Callithrix jacchus: one gene and its partners. The protein of the gene in region 1 purifies or fractionates together with the protein of each later gene. This does not show direct contact. Links are inferred from orthologs where the notes say so. Each region holds a gene or a part of one and is shown in the gene's direction. Other genes may lie near its edges. The genes, in order: OCRL, AP2A1, PHETA1, RAB1A and SNX9.

Evidence for each region.
Region 2: the proteins of OCRL (region 1) and AP2A1 purify together in Homo sapiens (affinity purification with mass spectrometry; 3 studies listed by BioGRID and IntAct, counting the BioPlex papers as one, with this or other methods). This does not show direct contact. The link is inferred for Callithrix jacchus from reciprocal best matches to the Homo sapiens genes OCRL and AP2A1.
Region 3: the proteins of OCRL (region 1) and PHETA1 purify together in Homo sapiens (co-immunoprecipitation; 5 studies listed by BioGRID and IntAct, counting the BioPlex papers as one, with this or other methods). This does not show direct contact. The link is inferred for Callithrix jacchus from reciprocal best matches to the Homo sapiens genes OCRL and PHETA1.
Region 4: the proteins of OCRL (region 1) and RAB1A purify together in Homo sapiens (co-immunoprecipitation; 3 studies listed by BioGRID and IntAct, with this or other methods). This does not show direct contact. The link is inferred for Callithrix jacchus from reciprocal best matches to the Homo sapiens genes OCRL and RAB1A.
Region 5: the proteins of OCRL (region 1) and SNX9 purify together in Homo sapiens (co-immunoprecipitation; 3 studies listed by BioGRID and IntAct, with this or other methods). This does not show direct contact. The link is inferred for Callithrix jacchus from reciprocal best matches to the Homo sapiens genes OCRL and SNX9.

Annotation. Positions count from the first base shown.
Region 1 is NC_133524.1:125,226,102-125,229,613, forward strand, and holds part of OCRL (inositol polyphosphate 5-phosphatase OCRL), read left to right. Parts: intron 1-7; coding exon 8-118; intron 119-542; coding exon 543-632; intron 633-1,286; coding exon 1,287-1,407; intron 1,408-1,489; coding exon 1,490-1,651; intron 1,652-3,493; coding exon 3,494-3,512. UniProt on the Homo sapiens protein: Catalyzes the hydrolysis of the 5-position phosphate of phosphatidylinositol 4,5-bisphosphate (PtdIns(4,5)P2) and phosphatidylinositol-3,4,5-bisphosphate (PtdIns(3,4,5)P3), with the greatest catalytic activity towards PtdIns(4,5)P2.
Region 2 is NC_133523.1:43,555,050-43,558,561, forward strand, and holds part of AP2A1 (AP-2 complex subunit alpha-1), read left to right. Parts: intron 1-637; coding exon 638-706; intron 707-825; coding exon 826-968; intron 969-1,076; coding exon 1,077-1,270; intron 1,271-3,512.
Region 3 is NC_133510.1:114,239,514-114,243,643, reverse strand, and holds the start of PHETA1 (sesquipedalian-1), read left to right. Parts: upstream 1-1,326; 5' UTR 1,327-1,510; intron 1,511-1,975; exon of another isoform or gene 1,976-2,588; intron 2,589-4,130. UniProt on the Homo sapiens protein: Plays a role in endocytic trafficking. Required for receptor recycling from endosomes, both to the trans-Golgi network and the plasma membrane.
Region 4 is NC_133515.1:48,813,530-48,817,601, forward strand, and holds the start of RAB1A (ras-related protein Rab-1A), read left to right. Parts: upstream 1-1,267; 5' UTR 1,268-1,458; coding exon 1,459-1,481; intron 1,482-4,072. UniProt on the Homo sapiens protein: The small GTPases Rab are key regulators of intracellular membrane trafficking, from the formation of transport vesicles to their fusion with membranes.
Region 5 is NC_133505.1:164,652,183-164,656,360, forward strand, and holds the start of SNX9 (sorting nexin-9), read left to right. Parts: upstream 1-1,376; 5' UTR 1,377-1,553; coding exon 1,554-1,565; intron 1,566-4,178. UniProt on the Homo sapiens protein: Involved in endocytosis and intracellular vesicle trafficking, both during interphase and at the end of mitosis. Required for efficient progress through mitosis and cytokinesis. Required for normal formation of the cleavage furrow at the end of mitosis.

The DNA of each region.
Region 1 (3,512 bases):
TTTTTAGGTGGCTGCAAAATTCGGGTTCAGGGGGACTGGACCAGAGAGCGCCGCTTTGAAATCCCTGATGAGGAACACGGTTTGAAGTTCCTCTCAGAGGTCCTTGTTGCTCAGAAAGGTAACTCAAGACTCGGCAATTTTCTTTCTTCTGTCTGAATGGGAATGAAATTCTGACATGCTGATACAGAGGGAAATGGCCATTGGCAAAATACCTCACCCTTTAAGCCCTGGTAGCTGATTTTTTTTTTCTTCAGGAGTGAACACAGGAATAGGTTAGGGAACAAATCTGCCTGGCTGTAAGGATACTAAGCCACTTTCCAGAATCTTCAGTGTCGTGGCAAGCATAGCTTACCATAGACTGTAATTCTCCTTCTGCCCCTCAATGACCCCAGAGCTGCCCTCATTTCCTTAGTTTCTTCTATATCCAAAAATGGTGCTGGCCCCTGCATGTAAGGAATGTTGAAAAGAATGGCTTTTCGCTATGGTAAATTCTACTCAGTGAAAGACTTCCCAGCTTCTGACCATGAACCATATCTCTCCAGCTCAGTCACAACTTCTTGTTCCAGAGCAAAAGGACTCATCCAGCTGGTACCAGAAATTAGACACTAAGGACAAACCTTCCGGTTTTTCAGGTACTGAAAAGTTTCTGGTTCTCTGGTTGCTATGGTCATTGCAGAGTCAGTAGATTTTGTCAGGCCAAATATGATGATGTAGATTAAAGCCAATGTCAGATACATTCTCCTGCAGAATAGTTTTATCGAGTGCAGGCCCACTGACCAATGTTCACTCCTCATCCTTTCTGTAGCATGGTAGCTTTTCAGGAGCCAACTTAGCAGGGTGGTAGGAAGTACAAGCTCCAGAGCCAGTTGGCCTGGGTTTGAATCCCACCCAAGTCAAGGACTTACTAGTTATACGACTTTCATCAAGTTACTCAAAAACTCTGAACTTCCATTTTCTTTTCTGTAACATGGTAAGAAGTTTAATAGTACTTACCTCGTAGAGTTTTTGTGATGATTAAGTGAGATAATGATATAATCCCTTACTGTTTAACCAGGCATTGTACTAAGTCTTCAGTAAATGTTAGCTATTACTAGTGTGTAAACTATTGTTCTAGTTAGTGTATCAGTGCTTCTTTGAACCCCAATCCAAGTAAATTCTACCCTTATGGCAGCTTTCTGTTTAGTAATACCACCGATCAAATTTTGATCAAATCAAAGCCCTGTTACCCTGGAAATGTTGGATGTTAGCTTTTTTCCCCCTTTGACTCTGGGGTCTGTATCTTTCAGGGCTTCTTGGATTTGAAGACAATTTTTCTTCTATGAATTTGGACAAGAAAATAAATTCACAAAATCAGCCTACTGGGATTCATCGGGAACCCCCACCTCCACCCCCTTCAGTGAATAAAATGTAAGTCCTATGTGAAAACGTATTTCCCCTATAGGAGAATTATAGTTTAAACAATTTTACTTTTGAATCTTTTATTTGCTAGGCTTCCACGTGAAAAAGAAGCTTCTAACAAGGAGCAGCCCAAAGTGACCAACACCATGCGGAAGCTCTTTGTACCAAATACCCAATCTGGGCAGCGGGAGGGTCTCATTAAACATATCCTGGCAAAGCGAGAGAAAGAATATGTCAACATTCAGACTTTCAGGTTAGTGTCTCTTTTGCTTCCTGAGTCCAAAAAGTAAGTAGGTATAACAGACAGTGGCCTGTTGATATTTATGACATTATTAGCCTAATTAAGAATCAAAATATGATAAAAAGGAATGGTCGCCTGTTTCAAGCTCCTGTCTCTATGCTGGCCAGTAACGTGCATATCAGAAATAATGCAGATGCTACAGTTTTCCTTGGATTTTCTTTTTTTGTGTGTGAGTCAAGCTCTCTTTGTCACCCAGGCTGGAGAGTAGATCATGGCTCACTGTAGCCTTGACCTCCCAGTCCCAAGCAATCCTCCCACCTCAGCCCTCGAAAGTAGCTGGGACTACAGACGCACGCCACCACACCCAGCTAATTTTTGTTTTTTTTTATAGAGACTGGGTTTCGCCATGTTTCCCAGGCTGGTCTCAAATTCCTGAGGTCAGGCAAAAAAGTGTTGGGATTATAGGTGTGAGCTACCGTGCTTAACTACTAATAATGCCATGTCTACTAATGTCTCTATTGAGTCTTTTTTTTTTTAATTTTTTTTTTTGTTTGAAACAGAGGCTCATTCTGTTGCCAGGCACCAGGCTGGAGTGCAGTGGTGCTATCTCGGCTCACTGCAATCTCAGCCTCCTGAGTTCAAGCAATTCTCCTGCCTCAGCCTCTGGAGTAGCTGGGACTGCAGGTGCACCCCACCACACCCAGCTAATTTTTGTATTTTTTAGTAGAGACGGGGTTTCACCATGTTGGCCAGGATGGTCTCGATCTCTTGACCTCCTGATCTGCCTGCCTCGGCCTCCTAAATTGCTGGGATTATAGGCGTGAGCCACTGCACCTGGCCTCTATTGAGTCTTGAAGAATCAAATCAAGCTCACATCTACTAGAGAATTTTCCCCTAGCACATTCCATAAACAAGCCTGTTTATATATCTGGCCTGCTAAGTTTTTTTTTCTCATCAATACCAGAAAATTAAAGTTCATCATTACCACTAGCTCTTAACTTACTTTGGTAAGTAAAGTAAGTTTCACCCAGTCTTCTTGATTGGAAGGTCTGTCTTGGATTCTTTCATCTGTATTATTTTTTGTTTCATCTTTACTTGTTGACATCTTCTTTTCTGGACCTGTGTTTTTGCTGCATGTGAGGTACCATGTGGCGTGTATCGCCAATGCATGAAGTAACACCACCTTTCTTTGTTACTCATGAGCAGAATGTACCCTTCTAGTCCAAGATTCTAGTCCCATCTGCTATCCTATCATGCCTCATTTATTCTAATTCAATCATAACTATATTCCTATGCTAAAACCTCCAGTTCCTGATATTCCCCACTATGCTTATATTTGTTTGTAAACAGCTAAGACAGTCATGAGTTTTCCCTTCTGCTTTCCCCCTTAATACTATGTCTGCCTCCTCAGAATTTCCTACACAGATGTCCTTGTAATCCTTCAGGAAGTGAGTTTCTGGAGTCAGCTACAGCCCTGTATAGAACATTTATCCATATTTGACTAGCTTACAGCATGAAGATACCTCTTTCCCATCTGTAAGCTCTCCTTTCAAGTATGAGTTTAGATGGAGTTTAATTGAAAGGAAATGTGGTATAGCAATTACCTTTGCATTTTTTAAAAATAGAGACTTGGTTTCCTTCTGTAGTTTTACTTAATGTAAAATTTAGAGAAAATAAGCCCACTGCCTTTATGTTCTAGATGCAAAAGATTTTTCTTACATGTGTGGAAAAACATTTTGAGGAATTACGTTAGCATATTGTGAACATACCTTTGTATAGAAGTGAAAAGAAAGACCTTCTGTTGGTTTATACTTGATCTTTGTTTTCAAATTATCTTTTCATATTATATATTAGATTTTTTGTTGGAACTTGG
Region 2 (3,512 bases), on another chromosome or scaffold:
GTTATTCCACAAGCGGGTCCTGGCAGAGGTGTAGGAATGTCCCACACAAATGGGAGAGGTTGGCAGCCAGGAGACCAGAGGCAGTGGGGACAGGCCACATGGGAGAGGACGAAGCCATGGCCCTAGGGACGGGGCAGGGGGCGCAAGGGTCTCACCCAAGGGTCTGACCTGGTGCCTGGGTGGACAGTGGGACCTTCATGGGATTGAGAACTGGGAGAGGAAGCAGTGAGCTCAGTGGTAGGAGTGAGCGCCCTAGTGATAGCTAAGCTCTTCATTCATTCATTCATCACCTGTTCATTGTGTGTGTGGGGCAGGGATAGGAGCTCTCAGGGAGCGTGTCCGGGGCCTGAGGAGCCCCACAGATCAGGGGCCACAGTGGGAGGAGGAACGAGAGGAAGTCAGGGACAGCCCAAGGGTGTGTGCTGTGCTTCCCCTCTGTGCCGTGGGGCTCAGTGAGCGGTGGTTCCTCCATCTTTGAAGCTCCCAGTCAGAGAAGGGGTCCTGGCCTGTCCTAAGCCCCAGGGCCTGGGGGCCGGGAAGATCTGGCCTTCCTGCTGGGTGGGGCCGTACCTAGGAAAGGGAAAGCAGGTGGCTGACTCCACAGAACTCTCCACCCACCCTCCTCCTCTTCTCCCAGGTAAGAGCAAAGAGGCGGAGATTAAGAGGATCAACAAGGAACTGGCCAATATCCGCTCCAAGTTCAAAGGTAGGCCGGGGCCTGACTCCTGGCTCTGAGGGAGGAGGGGCTGGGGGTGGGGCTCCTGGGACCTATCCTGTGACCCTTCCTCGTTTCTGGCTCCCCACCTTCTCCTTCCTCTGCCCTAGGCGACAAAGCCTTAGACGGCTATAGTAAGAAAAAATATGTGTGTAAACTGCTCTTCATCTTCCTGCTCGGCCACGACATTGACTTTGGGCACATGGAGGCTGTGAACCTGCTGAGCTCCAATAAATACACAGAGAAGCAGATAGTGAGTCTGGAGAGGGGAGGCCAGGGCCTGGACTCCTGGGTGTGAGGGTTGGATCTGGGGCCGCTCAGTCACAGGGCTCCTAGCCACCCCCCACCTGCCTTGCCACAGGGTTACCTGTTCATCTCTGTGCTGGTGAACTCAAATTCGGAGCTGATCCGCCTGATCAACAATGCCATCAAGAACGACCTGGCCAGCCGCAACCCCACCTTCATGTGCCTGGCCCTGCACTGCATCGCCAACGTGGGCAGCCGGGAGATGGGCGAGGCCTTTGCCGCAGACATCCCCCGAATCCTGGTGGCCGGGTAAGGCACTGGGGACCCGTGGGCAGTCGGGTGTGTGGGAGATGAGGCCCAGCCAAGGACAAGGCTCAGAGACCTGCCCGAGGTCTCCGAGCCGGGCTGGGACGTGGGCTAACGCTGCGCTGGGGACCTCAGTGGTTCTGGTGGCAGCTCTGGACTTGTCTCTTCTCATGATAGCAAGCTGACTTGATGGCGTGAGCCCGCTTCCCCACAAAGCCGGTGGCCGGGGAGTCTCTGAACTGCAGAACTGTAACACCCAGGATAAGAGGGATAACTGTAAGCTGGGTGGGTGATGGCCCTCCAGAACGTCTTCATCTGCTCCAGTCATTCACCAAACATTTACTGACCACCTACTATGTGCCAGCCACTGTGCTGATTGCTGGGGATGTGTCCTGACCAGAGATAGAAACGGTCATTGCCCTCCCATGTTCGTGGTCTGGAGCAGGAGATAAATGGTGTTGGAAGAATTGCAGGATGCAGTGGAGAATCTGCCAGGCGTGGTGGCTCATGTAATCCCTGTATTTTGGGAGGCCAAGGGAGGTGGATTGCTTGAGTCTAGGAGTTTGAGACCCTACTGAGCAACATGGCAAAACCCCATCTCTACTAAACACAAAAAACGAGTTGTGTTCATGCCACTGCACAGCCTGGGAGACAGCAAGACCCTGTCTCAAAAAAAAAAAAAAGTACAATTCCTCCCTCAGAACTACATTCTGGGCACAGGGGCCTATAAGGGTGTTTAATAGGAATACCTGACCCAGCTGGAGGATCAGAGAGGGCTTCCCAGAGGAAGCGGCACGAGGCTGACACCCGGGCGAGGAACAGTATTTTGCGATTGGAAAGCGGCAGTGAGGTCAGCTATGTGATTCTCTTGAAGCAGGAAGTTGTTGAGCGGATCTTTCTGGAGCATCTACAATGTGCTGGGCGCTGTTCTGGGCATGGGAGGCAGCAGTGAACAGCAGAGACCCTGCTGTGCCTACTCTTTTTCCATTTTGCTTGAGCACTAACTAGCTTCTCAGCCATGCCCACCCTCCAGGAGCTTACTTCTTAGGGGGCACAGGCAGCAAATACACAAGTAAAGAAGTAAGAAGGGGCCAGTGCGATGACTCAAGCCTGGAATCCCAGCACTTTGGGAGGCTGACTGAGGCAGGATCGATTGAGCCCAGGAGTTCGAGACCAGCCTGGGCAACATGGTGAGACTCTGTCTCTCTCTCTCTCTCTCTTTTTTTTTTTTTAATTAGCCTGAAGACTGGGTTCTCTTGGAGTGACCCTGTCTCTTAAAATTAAAAAAAAAAAAGAAAAATTAGCCGGGCCTGGTGGTTCACACCTGCTACTCAGGAGGCTGAGGCAGGAGCAGCACTTGTGGCCCTCCAAAAAGAGGAAGTAAGATGATCTTAGGTAGTGACGAATGCTCAAAGAAAATGCGACAGGGTTGTGAGGGACAGCAGGGGGCATGGGGAGGCTGGGTTTTTTTTTTCTTTTTTTTTTGAAACAGGGTCTCACTCTGTCATCCAGGCTGGAGTGCAGATCTCAGCTCACTGCAGCCTCTGCCTTCTGCGTTCAAGCAATTCTCATGCCTCAGCCTCCTGAGTAGCTGGGATCATAGGCACATGCCACCACGCCTGGCTAATTTTTATATATATATATATATATATATATATATATATATATATTTTTTTTTTTTTTTTGAGACGGAGTTTCGCTCTTGTTACCCAGGCTGGAGTGCAATGGCGCGATCTTGGCTCACTGCAACCTCCGCCTCCTGGGTTCAGGCAATTCTCCTGCCTCAGCCTCCTGAGTAGCTGGGATTACAGGCACATGCCACCATGCCCAGCTAATTTTTCATATTTTTAGTAGAGACGGGGTTTCACCATGTTGACCAGGTTGGTCTCGATCTCTTGACCTCATGATCCACCCGCCTCGGCCTCCCAAAGTGCTGGGATTACAGGCTTGAGCCACCATGCCCGGCCTAATTTTTATATTTTTAGTAGAGATGGGGTTTCATCATGTTGGCCAGGCTGATCTTGAACTCCTGACCTCAATTGATCTGCCCGCCTCAGCCTCCCAAAGTGCTGGGATTACAGGTTTGAGTCACTGCATCTGGTTGGAGGTTGTTTAAATTAGACTAGTGAGGGAGGGTCTCTCCACAGAGGTGGTGTGTATGATAAGATCATCATTTGAAGATGTTGGAGAAAGAGCGTCCTGAGCAAAAGGACCAGCAAGCACAGAGGCCCTGGGGCAGGCGTGA
Region 3 (4,130 bases), on another chromosome or scaffold:
AGGTTGCGGTGAGCCGAGATTGCGCCATTGCACTCCAGCCTGGGCAACAAGAGCGAAACTCCGTCTCAAAAAAAAAAAAAAAAAAAATTAGTCAAGTGTGGTGGCGCACACCTGTAGTCCCAGCTACTTGGGAGGCTGAGGTCGGAGGATTGCTTGAACCCAGGAAGTCAAGGTTACAATGAGCTGTGATTGTGCCAGTGCACTCCAAACTGGGTGACAAAAAAAAAAAAAAAAGCAAAAAGAAAGCTGCACTACCAGGCTTTCTGCCCCATTGCCTTGGCGTATAGACCTAGCATGAATCACTTCCTGAACTCATTTGCTGTTGTCTTGATTCCTGGCTGCACCTACTTACCCGGTTCAGGAACAGTGCCTGGCACACAGTAGGCACTTAGTAAGATGCTATACAATGGAGAGCTGACCCTGGTCTGTCCTGTTCTTCCTGCCCTCAGGCCAGGACTGGACAGTGATTAGGAGGTGGTAGGTGGTGGAGAAAAGGCAGCAGGAACAGGAAGCAAGGAAGGGTTCAAGGAGGTGAAACTGTGTTATTTTGGACAGGGCAAAATCAACAACAATTCCTATTTCTTGGGAGCCTACTACTGTGCCGTGCACATTACATATTATTATTGTGTTTATTTTCCCGATGAGGAAACGGAGACCTAAAGAAGTGAAATGATTTCTCTAAGGTCACAGAGTGTTCAGTGGGCTAGTGCAACTCGAACTCAAGTCTGTCCAATTCCAGAACTTTCTCTCTTCACCTGGGTCCAGGGGAGGCTCGAGGCACCCTGTTCCTATGGAAGACTGCTGTATACAAATGTCCTGGATTCAGCTGCTTTCCGCCAAGTACACATTTTTGAGGAGTTAGAGCTATTTTTCTAATTTAACTGGGCGTTAAATTTGCTAAACCTGGCAACCCAGGTTTAGCACATTTTTTTTTATTTGTAGAGATGGGGGCCTCCCTATGTTGCCCAGGCTGGTCTTGAACTCCTGGGCTCAAGCGACCCTCCTGCCTCGTCCTAGGGGGAGCTCAGACTGAACTCTAGGACTTCAGCAAATGGCCCGCCCAGGAACCCCGAATGCTCTTTCCGGGCGAATCCACGGCCTGGGCCGGTCGTTACCTTTGGAATCTCAAAGAGCTTCTGGGCTCCAGCACTGGGGAATGGCGAGCCAGGCGCGGACCCTTTAAGAGTGATTTCGAGGGCGGGCTCACGGGGGCGTGGCAAATCCAGGGGCGTGCCGGGTGGGGGCAGGCCAATCGAGAGGCGAGACGAACGGGCGGCGCGGGTAGGTTGGGAAGGGTTAAAGGGGCGCGCCAGTGGGTCGCGGACTGTCCGGTCGCTCCCGCCTCCTTCCGTCGGATCCGCGCTCTCCCGCGGCTGCGCCGGCCTGGCCACCCGGGAGACAAAGCGCTGCCGCCGCCGTCGCCGCAACCGGGCCAGTCCCGGACCATGGCCCGGCCATCCCCCGGCCTCGCGCCTCCTGTCCCGTCGCCGCACTAGGCCTGCGCTTCGAGGTAAGGCGGGCCTGGCCGGGGGACCTGCACAGGGATGCGGGACCTGGGTCGGGCCGCCCTGGGCCTCGGGGTGCCCCGGCCACCTGGAGAGCCCGCTGCGAGGATCTTCCCCGCTGGGACTCCGCACCAGCGGTCACTTTTCCGGCAGCCTAGGCGGACTTGGCCGATGACTACCCTCCCCGCCCCCAGCATAGGGACGTCTGCCGCTGAGGGGGACTGCGGCTAAGCTCCTCATTCTGCCGCTGACCACCCATCCGGGGCTCGGGCTGTCCTTTACCGAACTTAAGAGAGCTCCCACGCTCAATACACAAAGAGACAGAGGACAGCTGGGAGCAGGGCCAGAGCTGGAGAAGCAGGCAAGGGGGCTGTCTGTGCGCGGACGGTGGTGCTGGCGTCCCTGGGGTCCCTGCTGGGGCCGTGATAGACTGGCTGCTCTTCAGTGTTCTTGGCACACATGTTTTTCAGCCTGTGCCTGCCACACCCTCTTCCCCATGCCCGCTGCTGGGGGACACTGAGGGCAGCTGGATTCAACCCCAAGACCTGCGGTTCTGGCTTCTTTCATTGAAGTGAGTGCCAAAATGCCATGCCTCAGTCTCCCCAGAGACCTGGGTTCCAGGGCCAGCTGTGCCCCTGGAGATCTTAGATGAATTATTTGCCTTTTGGTGGCTCTTTCCCTGAGCGTTCAACTCACTACCAACCAAGTAATTTGCAAAATGACTCTTCAGGAATAAATTCACTCAGCCCTTAGAGGGATGGAAGTTAACTCCCCATTTTGCTGATGAGGCTGCGAAAATCCCCAACTCAGAGCAGCTACTATTTGCAGTCCCTTTCCCAGTTTGCCTGTGGGTTTTCCTTCTTTTAGCTCACTGAACCTTCGACACACAGCCCATTTTAACAGATGAGGAAACTGAGGCTTGGAAAGGTGAAATGACTTGTCCAAGATCCTCTAGCCTGTACCGGCAGAGGCAGGACCCTGGCCTTGGAAGCAGAGGGGCCAGGCTCCCTCCAGCTTCCTGCCTGGCTGTTGAATCAGCAGCAGTGCCCACAGTGGACTCTGAACTTTTTGGAAAACAGCATGGTAAGATAAGACAGGGGCCAGGCCTTCCCTCTAGGCAAGGCTGGAGCCTGTGCCCCTGTGGCTTCCTGCCTTCCCCGTTCTGGTGGAGGCAGGGGTCATGGACAGAGCCAGGTCATGCCTGCTGGTGACCTTGAACCAGTTTGGCCTCCATCTGTGCAGTGGAGGGGGGAGTGTTGCTGAGCAGGAGGGAAGTTCCTATTCCTTCGGCCTTGTTGGGGTGGGGAGACCCCAAGATCAGCTCCTTTTTTGGGTGGCTTGCCTGGAGTATATGATTCTGGGCACAGTTGTATGCCTCTGGCCAACTTACTGAACCTCTCTGTGGCCATTTCCATGTCTATGAATGTGGGGTGAGACCCCTTGTCTTGGGCCTGTTGAGAGGTTTAAGAAGATACCTGTAGAATGAATCAAACAGCTGTGTGAGCACCTACTGCATGCGAGGCACTGGAATTCAAATCACAAACACCCCTGCTTTCCTGGAGCAGGCAAAAATGACCCCAGTACTAATAATTTCAGAAGGAGGCACAGGAGAGGGACTGGGGGGGGCTCTTGTGCATAGGGTGGCCAGGGACCAATCCTGAGACCAAAGGATGGGGAGCTGGCCTTGTGAAGACCTGGAGAGGACACTGTAGGCAGACAGCCAGGGCCAGGTCTCAGAGGCAGGGATGTGTCTGCTGTATTTGAGGAACAGAAAGGAGGCCAGGATGGCTGGAGCTGAATGAGCAAGGGGAAAAGAGGTAGGGAAAGGGAACTTGGAAGCCATGGGAAGCTTTTTTTTTTTTTTTTTTTTTGAGACAGGGTCTCACTATGTTGTCCAGGCTGGAATGCAGTGGCATGATCACTCCCAAATTCAAAGGGTCCTTCCATGTCAGCCTCCCAGATAGTTAGGACTAGAGGTTTGTGCCTCCCAGATAGCTAGGACTAGAGGTGTGTGCCTCCCAGATAGCAAGGACTAGAGGTGTGTGCCACCATACCCAGCTGTTTTTTCTATTTTTTATAGTGATAGGGTCTTGCTGTGTTGTCCAGGCAGGTTTCTAACTCAAGCAATCCTCCGGCTTCAGCCTTCCAAAGTGCCAGCATTACAGGTGTGAGCCACCGCGCCCTGCCTAAGGATTGAATTTTATGCTGAGAGAAGCAGGGAGGGTTTAGAGCAGAGGAGGAGTGTGATTGGACTTAATTTTCACAGGATCCCTCTGTGGGGAGTGGATTTCAGTGTGGCTTGGAGAAGAGCCTGGGAAATAGGCTTGGATCTTACCTTGAGGAATGTGGACAGGGAGGGGAAAGGAGACTTCTGAGGAGGCTTCAGCAGTGAATGATGATGGGGCTTAGAATGGGGAGGTGGGGTGGACAGATTAGGCAACTGATTTGGAAGAGGCTGGAGGGGGGATCAACTGGACTTGATGGGTGATCAGATGTAGGGGTGAGAGGGAAACCAAGGGCCATTTGCTCAGGTTGGAAGCACTAGATGGGGGTGTCTGGGGAAAAGCCAAGAAGAATGTGAATTGCTACTGTGCTCAGCAGGCACTTTGTGCCTAGCCCTGTGCT
Region 4 (4,072 bases), on another chromosome or scaffold:
ACTTTGGACAATGTATTATACTATGCCCTTTGTAATTAAATAACTCAAGATAATGTGTTAAAGTTTAGTGGAGATTTAAATTCCTGCGCTGATTAAAGAGAGCTGTTAAGACCACAGGTTTTTAAAAAATGAGTTAATAAATAATACCCTCAGAAATTGTAGGCATTATGTAGTGATGAATTGCATGTTTTTATTGTTTATTATTTTCCAATCTTGCAGAATGGCTCAGGATTAGTAACAACTGAAAATAAGACATTACAACTCAACTTGAAGGCTGGCACGAAGGGAGGACTTGGATTTTAGGCTGGCTCTGGGCTGTGTCCCTCCCGTCCATGGAATGTGGAGCCACTGAAGGTTGTGGGGTCATGGTAGAGGTGCTGTCTCAGAAAGATACATTCGATTGTGTGCGCAAATGGGCTGGGGCGGAGAAGAGAGAGGCAGAGCCCATTAGGAGACTACTGCAATATCCAGGCTGACGAGTTAAGACAGGGGCAGCAGTAAGAATAAGAAGAAATCAAAGAAAATGGTAGTGCGCGGGGCCAACAATGGACGATGACCGAACCAAGTTGGGGCTGGGTGAGAAGTGAAAGAACCGCTCCGGGTTGTCCAGGGAGCCCCTTGACTTCCCTTCTGTCCTTAGAGCGGACGTCCTCCGACTAGCCAGCCGGGTGGCGCAAGCCTCAAGCTGGTTAGGTCAGCAAAAGCCACACCGGGGGCCTGAGCCGCCACGCGTGTCCCCCGCCCCCGGCCCCCTCCCCGCCCTTGCACCCCGGCAGTCTCTCCGGTTTGACCACTCCCTCCGGTCCCCAACCTTCCCCGACCCCCAGCCTCCGTCGACCGCCGGCACCGCCCTCCGCCTCTCTCCGCCCCTCTCCGCCCCCTCCCGCGTGGGGCGCTTACTAGCCCAGCTGCCACGTCTCACTGCTGACATCACCAGGGCCGCTCGGCCTTAGCCAATCCGCCAGGGGGAGTCAGAGCGAAGTCCTAGCCAGCGAGTCAGAGGGGAGGGGAGCAAGGAGGGGCGGAGGGTGGGGAGGTGAGGGAGTGGGGAATAGGGCGGGCGACAACCCTTCAAGTACGCATGCTCCAAACGCGCGGCGCTTGGCGGGAAGCTGAGTCTTGGCCTCCGCTCCGCACCGTCTGTTTTCAGCTCGCGTATCCGCACTCGCGACTCCCATTCCCGGCATGCCAGGCGGTGCGGCCGCCCTCCGGCTGTGTAAAGGCTCCTTGGTCTAAGGCTTCCCTATTTCCTGGTTCGCCGGCAGCCATTTTGGGTGGAAGCGATAGCTGAGTGGCAGCGGCTGCTGATTGTGTTCTAGGGGACTGAGTGGGGGAAGACGTTTGCTCTCCCGGAACAGCCTATCTCATTCCTTTCCTTCGATTACCCGTGGCGCGGAGAGTCAGGGCGGCGGCTGCAGCAGCAAGGGCGGCGGTGGCGGCGGCGGCAGCTGCAGTGACATGTCCAGCATGAATCCCGAATAGTGAGTTCAGGAGAGCACCGGTCGGCTGGGTCCGTGGGCCAGCTTGAGGGATCTTAAAGGGGGCAAGGAGGGTTGGGGCGGAAGTCGGAGCCTCAGCTGGGTTGAGGCGAGGGTGATGGGTCAGGAGAGGCTGGCGGCCGGGAGCCGGGCCCCATTGTCTGACGCGGAGGGGCGGCCGGGCGGGGGAGGGGTCGGGCCGGAGGGGTGAGACGCCCGGGCCTGGACCAGGTCAGGTTGGAGGGCCTGAGTGTGGGGCGGGTGCTGAGGAACTGTGCGGAGGGTCCTGAGGCGGTGTGAAGGGTTAGCTTTTCCTGGAGGCAGTGACTTTTGAAGGAGGACTTGTTTCTGAGGGGAGGGGATGGCGTGGGAGAGCCCTCCTAGAGGGCACTGGCAGACCCTGCGCCCGCACTCTGCGGAACTGTCAGGATCCTCGGGGTGGAAACCAGCTTTACTTGCAAATCCTGAGCTTCTTGGCTCCCTCTCCTTCCATCCTCTCCGCCAGGTTTCAGGTAATATGGATGCTTTTCGGGACTGCTTGGGATTGAGGGGAATGAGTAGATGGTGAGAAGCGATTTTTAAGTTCTCTTTTTTGAGTTGTGTCTTGGAAGAGTTCTTTAAGAACTCGGCGGTTCCATTGCCCTCCTAAAAACCTGGGCACTTGTGAGAATTTTTTTTTTTTTTTTTAGAGGACACTTAAGTCATTTTGTCTTCTGTAGGTCAAGGAAAAAAAACACACAGCTAAAGCCAAGGAATGTTTTTCTGATACTACCAGATTAAAGGAACCCTGCTGTCAAGTTGAAAGAGAAACGAATGGGACCTATGATAGATCTGTATGTAGGTTTTGGATTACCTGCTTGAATGATTGCAGATAGGGAATGATAGGCAATGAGGTTCCATGACGTGTCATGAAAAGTTAATGCATTTCTTTTTCTTGCTTACTCAAGAAGTCACGACAGCAGATGTGACACACCTGGCACCTTTCCTGGGAACTGGTGTTCACTTCCCTTGGGTAGACTTTGTTGGCTCTCCTCAGTGGCCCTTTAAAAATTTCCTCTACAGTTTACATATATGTAAAGTAATGAGTAATTGGAAGAGATAGAATTGGTATTTCTTTTCAGTGTCAAAAGCCTTTGAGGGATGGGGGAAATGAGTATTTGTTGTAAAAGTTGAGTTTATTTGCTGCTTTGATCAATTACTGCTAAACATTTTCCCCTAAAAGGTCCACCCACCAGTTTAGCTGACTGTCATGTGTGTGTCACATGGCTCTTGCAAAATGCATTCTTCAAGTTTTGTAACACTGGCTTGATGCTGAAATCTTTTGCACTAAACTGAAACCATAGTATTTTATTAGAATTTTATGCTTTAGAAGTTGACGGTAGTGTTCTTGTAGTGACATATTTACTTTGTTGACAGTTAAAAAAATTTTTTTTTCAAGGGCTCCAAGGACACAGTTGGTTTTGCACAGGTGAACACAGTTGAACTTGAGGTTCTTAATTTAGTGGTTTTCTTGGTAACAGTAAAGAATATGGATTTACCGCTCTATCAAAGTTCATAAACCTGTACTGTTAAGGGCTTTTTCTGAATTTACTATATATATGTTTAGTACTGTAAATAGATATTCAAGATTAGTTGAGAACTTTGACAAGTTAGCCTCTGAATTTATTTCCCCTTTTGTTAAATAGAATAATTGGAATCATTATTCCTTTCAGGGTAGTGGTGAAATTCAAATGCATATAAAAGAATTAGGAAAACTATATGAGCATTCTTCAGGTAGTATGCGTAATTTTCATGAAAGGCGTTCTATTAGTGCTAAGATTTAGGAATATAATCTTTATGTTTAAGGAGTTTAGGAATATAGATAAACATTTTATGCATGTCAAATACCAGTAAATGCAGCAAATTCCAGATGTGTGTCGTTGATGAGAGCAACAAGATTTCGGGGATGGTGGGTTGTGATTAGCTATCTGGGTTTTGGAAGACTTTATAGAAAAGAGACCTGAAAGGAAATTATCAGCAGCAATTGGATTTGGAGGAACAGAGGGAGTGAGAAGGAATTTTCAAGGAGGAGAAGCAGGAATGGCTCATAGATGACAGGGATAGTAATTCTTGAGTAAATGTGGTATCACATCATCCTTTTCTTTTGAAGACTAGATTAATGACCTCAATGGAATCAAATCCAGAAATAGTTTTTATATTTTTTCTGGCATCAAATACATGAGTATCTGGCCTACTATATTTGTAGTCTATCTAGACTGTTGAGTAAAGTAAAACAGGAATTTGGGAAAACTTTTGCAAAAATGTTAGTGGAAATTAGGGTAAGAGGAAGTGAGGGATATTTTATTAGGGAAGGTTACAAGGGCAGCCAACAATCAGATTTTTAGCAATCTGACTTTAGCAGGTTTTTTTTTTTTTTTTTTTGAGACGGGGTTTCGCTCTTGTTACCCAGGCTGGAGTGCAATGTCTCGATCTTGGCTCACTGCAGCCTCCGCCTCCTGGGTTCAGGCAATTCTCCTCCTTCAGCCTCCTGAGTAGCTGGGATTACAGGCACACACCACCGTGCCCAGCTAATTTTTTGTATTTTTAGTAGAGAC
Region 5 (4,178 bases), on another chromosome or scaffold:
CAGGAGGATAAATTCCTAGGAGGGCTGCTGGGTCCAAGGTTATGGTCATTTTCAATTTGAATAAGTATTACCAAAGGGGCAAGTTATTTAAGTGAGCCCTGATTGGCTCATCTTTGTAAACAGTGGACAATGATGAGTTTCTCACATGTTTCCTACAAGGATTAAATGAGATGGGGATGTAAAAGCCTAGTATACAGCAAGCAGGTTGTCAAAGAATGTTGGCCTCCAACATTTTATTTACGGGGAAAGAAAACTATGCATATTATGATGACTACAGCTTTAACCATGAGCTAGACAAACACAAAAATTCACAGAAAATTCTGCAATACCGTATTTAATCTCCATTATTGAACTAGCGAAATCTCAGGTCAAATACAACATATTTAAAAAGACACAAACTTGACATTAACTCTAAATACTATGGAGTATTTAGATTTGATCTGATAGTTCTCTTCTTACAAATACATCCCTCATAATAACAAAGTACTCCACTAGTATGCCAATTAAAATATCTTCCAGTCGTGTGTTTTGTCCTTGAGTGAAAAATCTTGCTGCTCAATTCAAGTCATTCTTTTATTCAAAACTCCCATATATATATATATATATATCCAACTCTGGAGAAAACCACTGACAAGAAAGATGGACAATTTTAGAACCCTCATTTCCATTTCAGAGATCCTGCTGTTCCCCAAACCTCTGGGGCACTCGGGCATTTTTAAACGTATCAAGAGTCCAGAAGGAGGTTAACCGGAGATCACAGAACGAAGCCCCCAAGGTCCCGTTCCAGGGGCTCCAAGCCAGGACCCCGGCCTGAGGGAGCCTCCGGGCGAGAGGAAGAGGCCCAGGAAGCCATTGCTCCGTTCCTTCCCGGCTGTTTATGTGGTACTCAGGATACTCGGGCCAGGGCACCGCGACCCCGCAGCAGCACCGGCGTAGGGCACAAATCGCGGGGTGGGGGGGCTCCTGCCTTCAGGGCGCTTCGCGAGTTCCTGCCGCCCCCTCCCGCCTCTTGCACGGAAAGCCCCGAGCCACGGCGTTCGGCGCCGGCCGAGCGTGAACGGATTCTGGGGTTCGGCTCCCCCGAGCAGCTCGGTGGGCCGCGGAGCGCTTTCCGTGGGGCGGCTATGCGGCCTGCCGGACATGGCTCCGGGATCCCGCCCCGACCCTACCGCAGCTCAGGACGCGGCCCCGAGCCTAGACGAAGGGGGCCGGGCGGTGGCGCGGCGCGGGGGCGGCCTGGAGGCCGGGCCGCGGCCGAGGGCCCAGGGCGCGCTTCCGCCGGGCGCCGCGCGCGCCGCGGTAAATGGGAGGCTCGGCCGGCAGGGGCGGGGGCCGCGCAGCCGGGGACTTTCAGGAACTGCAGGAGCGGGCGGCGCGGGAGTCGCAGAGCGCCCAGCGGCGGGGCCTGAGCGTCCAGACTCGGGGCCGAGGCGAAGCAGTCGCCGCCGCGCCGGGGCCCATCCGGAGCCGCCGCCCACCCCCTCGCGGCTCGGAACCACCATCCGCAACGCAGGAGACGAGCCGGCCGTCCCGGGCCGGGAGACCCGCCCGCCATGGCCACCAAGGTGAGGGGTGCGCGGCGCAGGCCCGGCCGGCCGATCAGGCCCACAGCGGCGCGGGGAGGGTCGGGGCCGGGGCCGCGGGGAGGGTCGGGAACGGGGGCCGCCGAGGAGCCACGCCGCGTCCTCGGTTGGGTTCCCGGACGGCTCCGCGGCCCAGCCAGCCCCCTCCGGGCATGGGTGCGGCGGGCTGTGGGGACCGCCGGGATCGCGCTGGGGGAGGGCGTCGGATCTGCGCGCAGACGCGGGTCGGGTCCCAGGGCGCAGCTAGGTTTGCGAAGTTTGCACCTGAGAGAGTGGGCTGCGGCTGGCTCTCCGGGAGGGGCCGTGGGAGCGGGACGGAAACTTCCCGCAGCCCTAGGAGGCCCCCTAGGCGATAGGCGCTCCCTGTTGTCCGCCGTCTCCGCGTCCCCTTCTGCTGCGCCCGGGGGACCCTCGGCCCCGCGAGGCGATTAGGAGTCGAGACCCCGGCGGAGAGGACGCGGCGCTTCCCGTCCCAGCCTGCGGGAGCTCGCGTCCGGGGATGGACGGAGGCTGGGACGCCCAGAGCCCCGCTGCCTTCGCTGCTGTTATTTTTTTGTTTTGTTTTGCTGCCTTTTCAGTGTGACTGGTATTGCCAGCATGAATAAAATATCAAGAGGGAAATGACTGTGCTTTCGATTACGTGTTTGCCTGAGTAAAGGCCCAGGCCCGAATTACGTCGTGGAACTTTGACTCCTGCTTGGTAATTGGCTAGGAGCGGTGGTTTCCCTCTTTTACGTTATTGTTTATGAAATTAGCAGTCACTCCTTGCTACCTGAGTGTTCAAAAGCCACCTTCCCCCGCTCCTTTTCCCAGGCCCTTTTCAGTAGTTATTTGATGTAAAATAGTTGTTGGGAAAGTCAGGGACGCGGAAGGAGGACCTGGGGGAGGAGGCTCCATCCCTGAGCCATTGACTGATCTATGATATGCTGTGAGGAGCGGGTTTACTTTTGCATTTAGTTTTTGTAATGTCAGTTTCTAAGCATCAGAACCCCTTTCTCTATTTGTTTTTGAGATCTCTGAGCTACTTTTGGGTTGGTGGAAACCTTATTTTTTTTTATTTTTATTTTTCGATAGGTGTGTGTATGTGCGCGCGCGTTTGTGGAGTGATAAAGTGGAAAATGATAAGACATTTCAAATCTCTTTGAAAGATCAGAATTGCTTGATTACCCTCTGCCAGATTTTGTGCTGCGGTAGATTTTGTTCTCTGAATCCATCTAGGTGCCGCGTTTATAGAGAAATGGGGATTCTCCTCCAGGGAACCTGTTGCTGCAGTTACTGAAATAATTAACCTTCTTACTAATATATTATTGCCTGTGCTGTGCCTTGGTTTTATTAATGTGATATAATTTGCCACCTTTTTAATGTATTAATTTTGCTTTGACCTTTTTAAAAATAAAACTTAGGCCAAGGATTTCTAAGCAAATTTGATTTTGAGGTTTGTTGCCAAACATTCCAGAAATTACTGGTTACACATCCTACTACACACTCATCTTGCAACCTTAAATCGGTTTATAGACCCTGCGCGGTGGCTCACTCCCGCCTGTAATCCCAGCACTTTGAAAGGCCGCGGTGGACAGATCACCTGAGGTCGGGAGCTCGAGACCAGCATGGCCAATATGATGAAACCCCATCTTTACTAAAAATACAAAAATTATCTGGGTGTGGTGGTGTGCACCTATAGTCCCAGCTGCTCTGGAGGCTGAGGCAGGAGAATCGCTTGAACCCGGGAGGTGGCGGTTGTGGAGAGCAAGGCTCTGTCAAAAAAAAAAGCGGTTTATGACCTAGAGATCTGTCCAGTGGTGGTCAGTATTGTGTTTTTCCCACTCTGGTCTGCTGAGGCGTGTTACCTGTACTGTCCTTTAAGTGGAATGCAGTTTAGCAACTAGTGCGGGTATACCTGGTGAAATTTTTATTTCATTGTTAAGCCTAAACTTAATTTTTTCCCCAAAAATTTGAAAAGGACAGTGGTGCTTGTATTCATCTTGAATTGCGTGTGTCTTCACTTAAACACGAGTCTTAAAACATGTATAAGCACTTCCTGCTTGGTTATCTACACCACTCTGAAGGCATATTCCAGTAGTTAGTTTGTTTCGGCTGACTAATCACTGTTCCACATGGCGCTCATTTCCATGTTTACATTGTGATGAGTTTGAAGAAAAAGAATAGCCTTCCTTAGTTTTCTGACATGCTGGTGATTGTTGTGTCCAACCAAAGTCTCATTTTTTAATTGTTCCCAGAGAATCAAGTTGGTCCTTTGCCTCCCTTCCCCCATGTATACACGCCTGCCCTTCCCCACATCTGAGTAGTTCTATTTTTTTTTCTTCGTTTTCTTCAAGGGGTGGGGGAATGTATTTAGTAGTAATGACTACCTTTTAATAAAAATTTAGGCTCCCTTTGCACTCAGGCTGTTGCTGTAATTATTAAGTGATGAAAAGTAAATTCAGTGTCTGGATATTTTAGGTGATGTCAGTTTCCCTTTGAATTTACCAGAGAATTGGCTACAGTATCTTCAGATACAATTTTCTTACTTGTTCTTATGTATTTTCTTAAGGATGTGATTGTTTCTGAACTATAGGGATTAAAAAAAAATTCTGC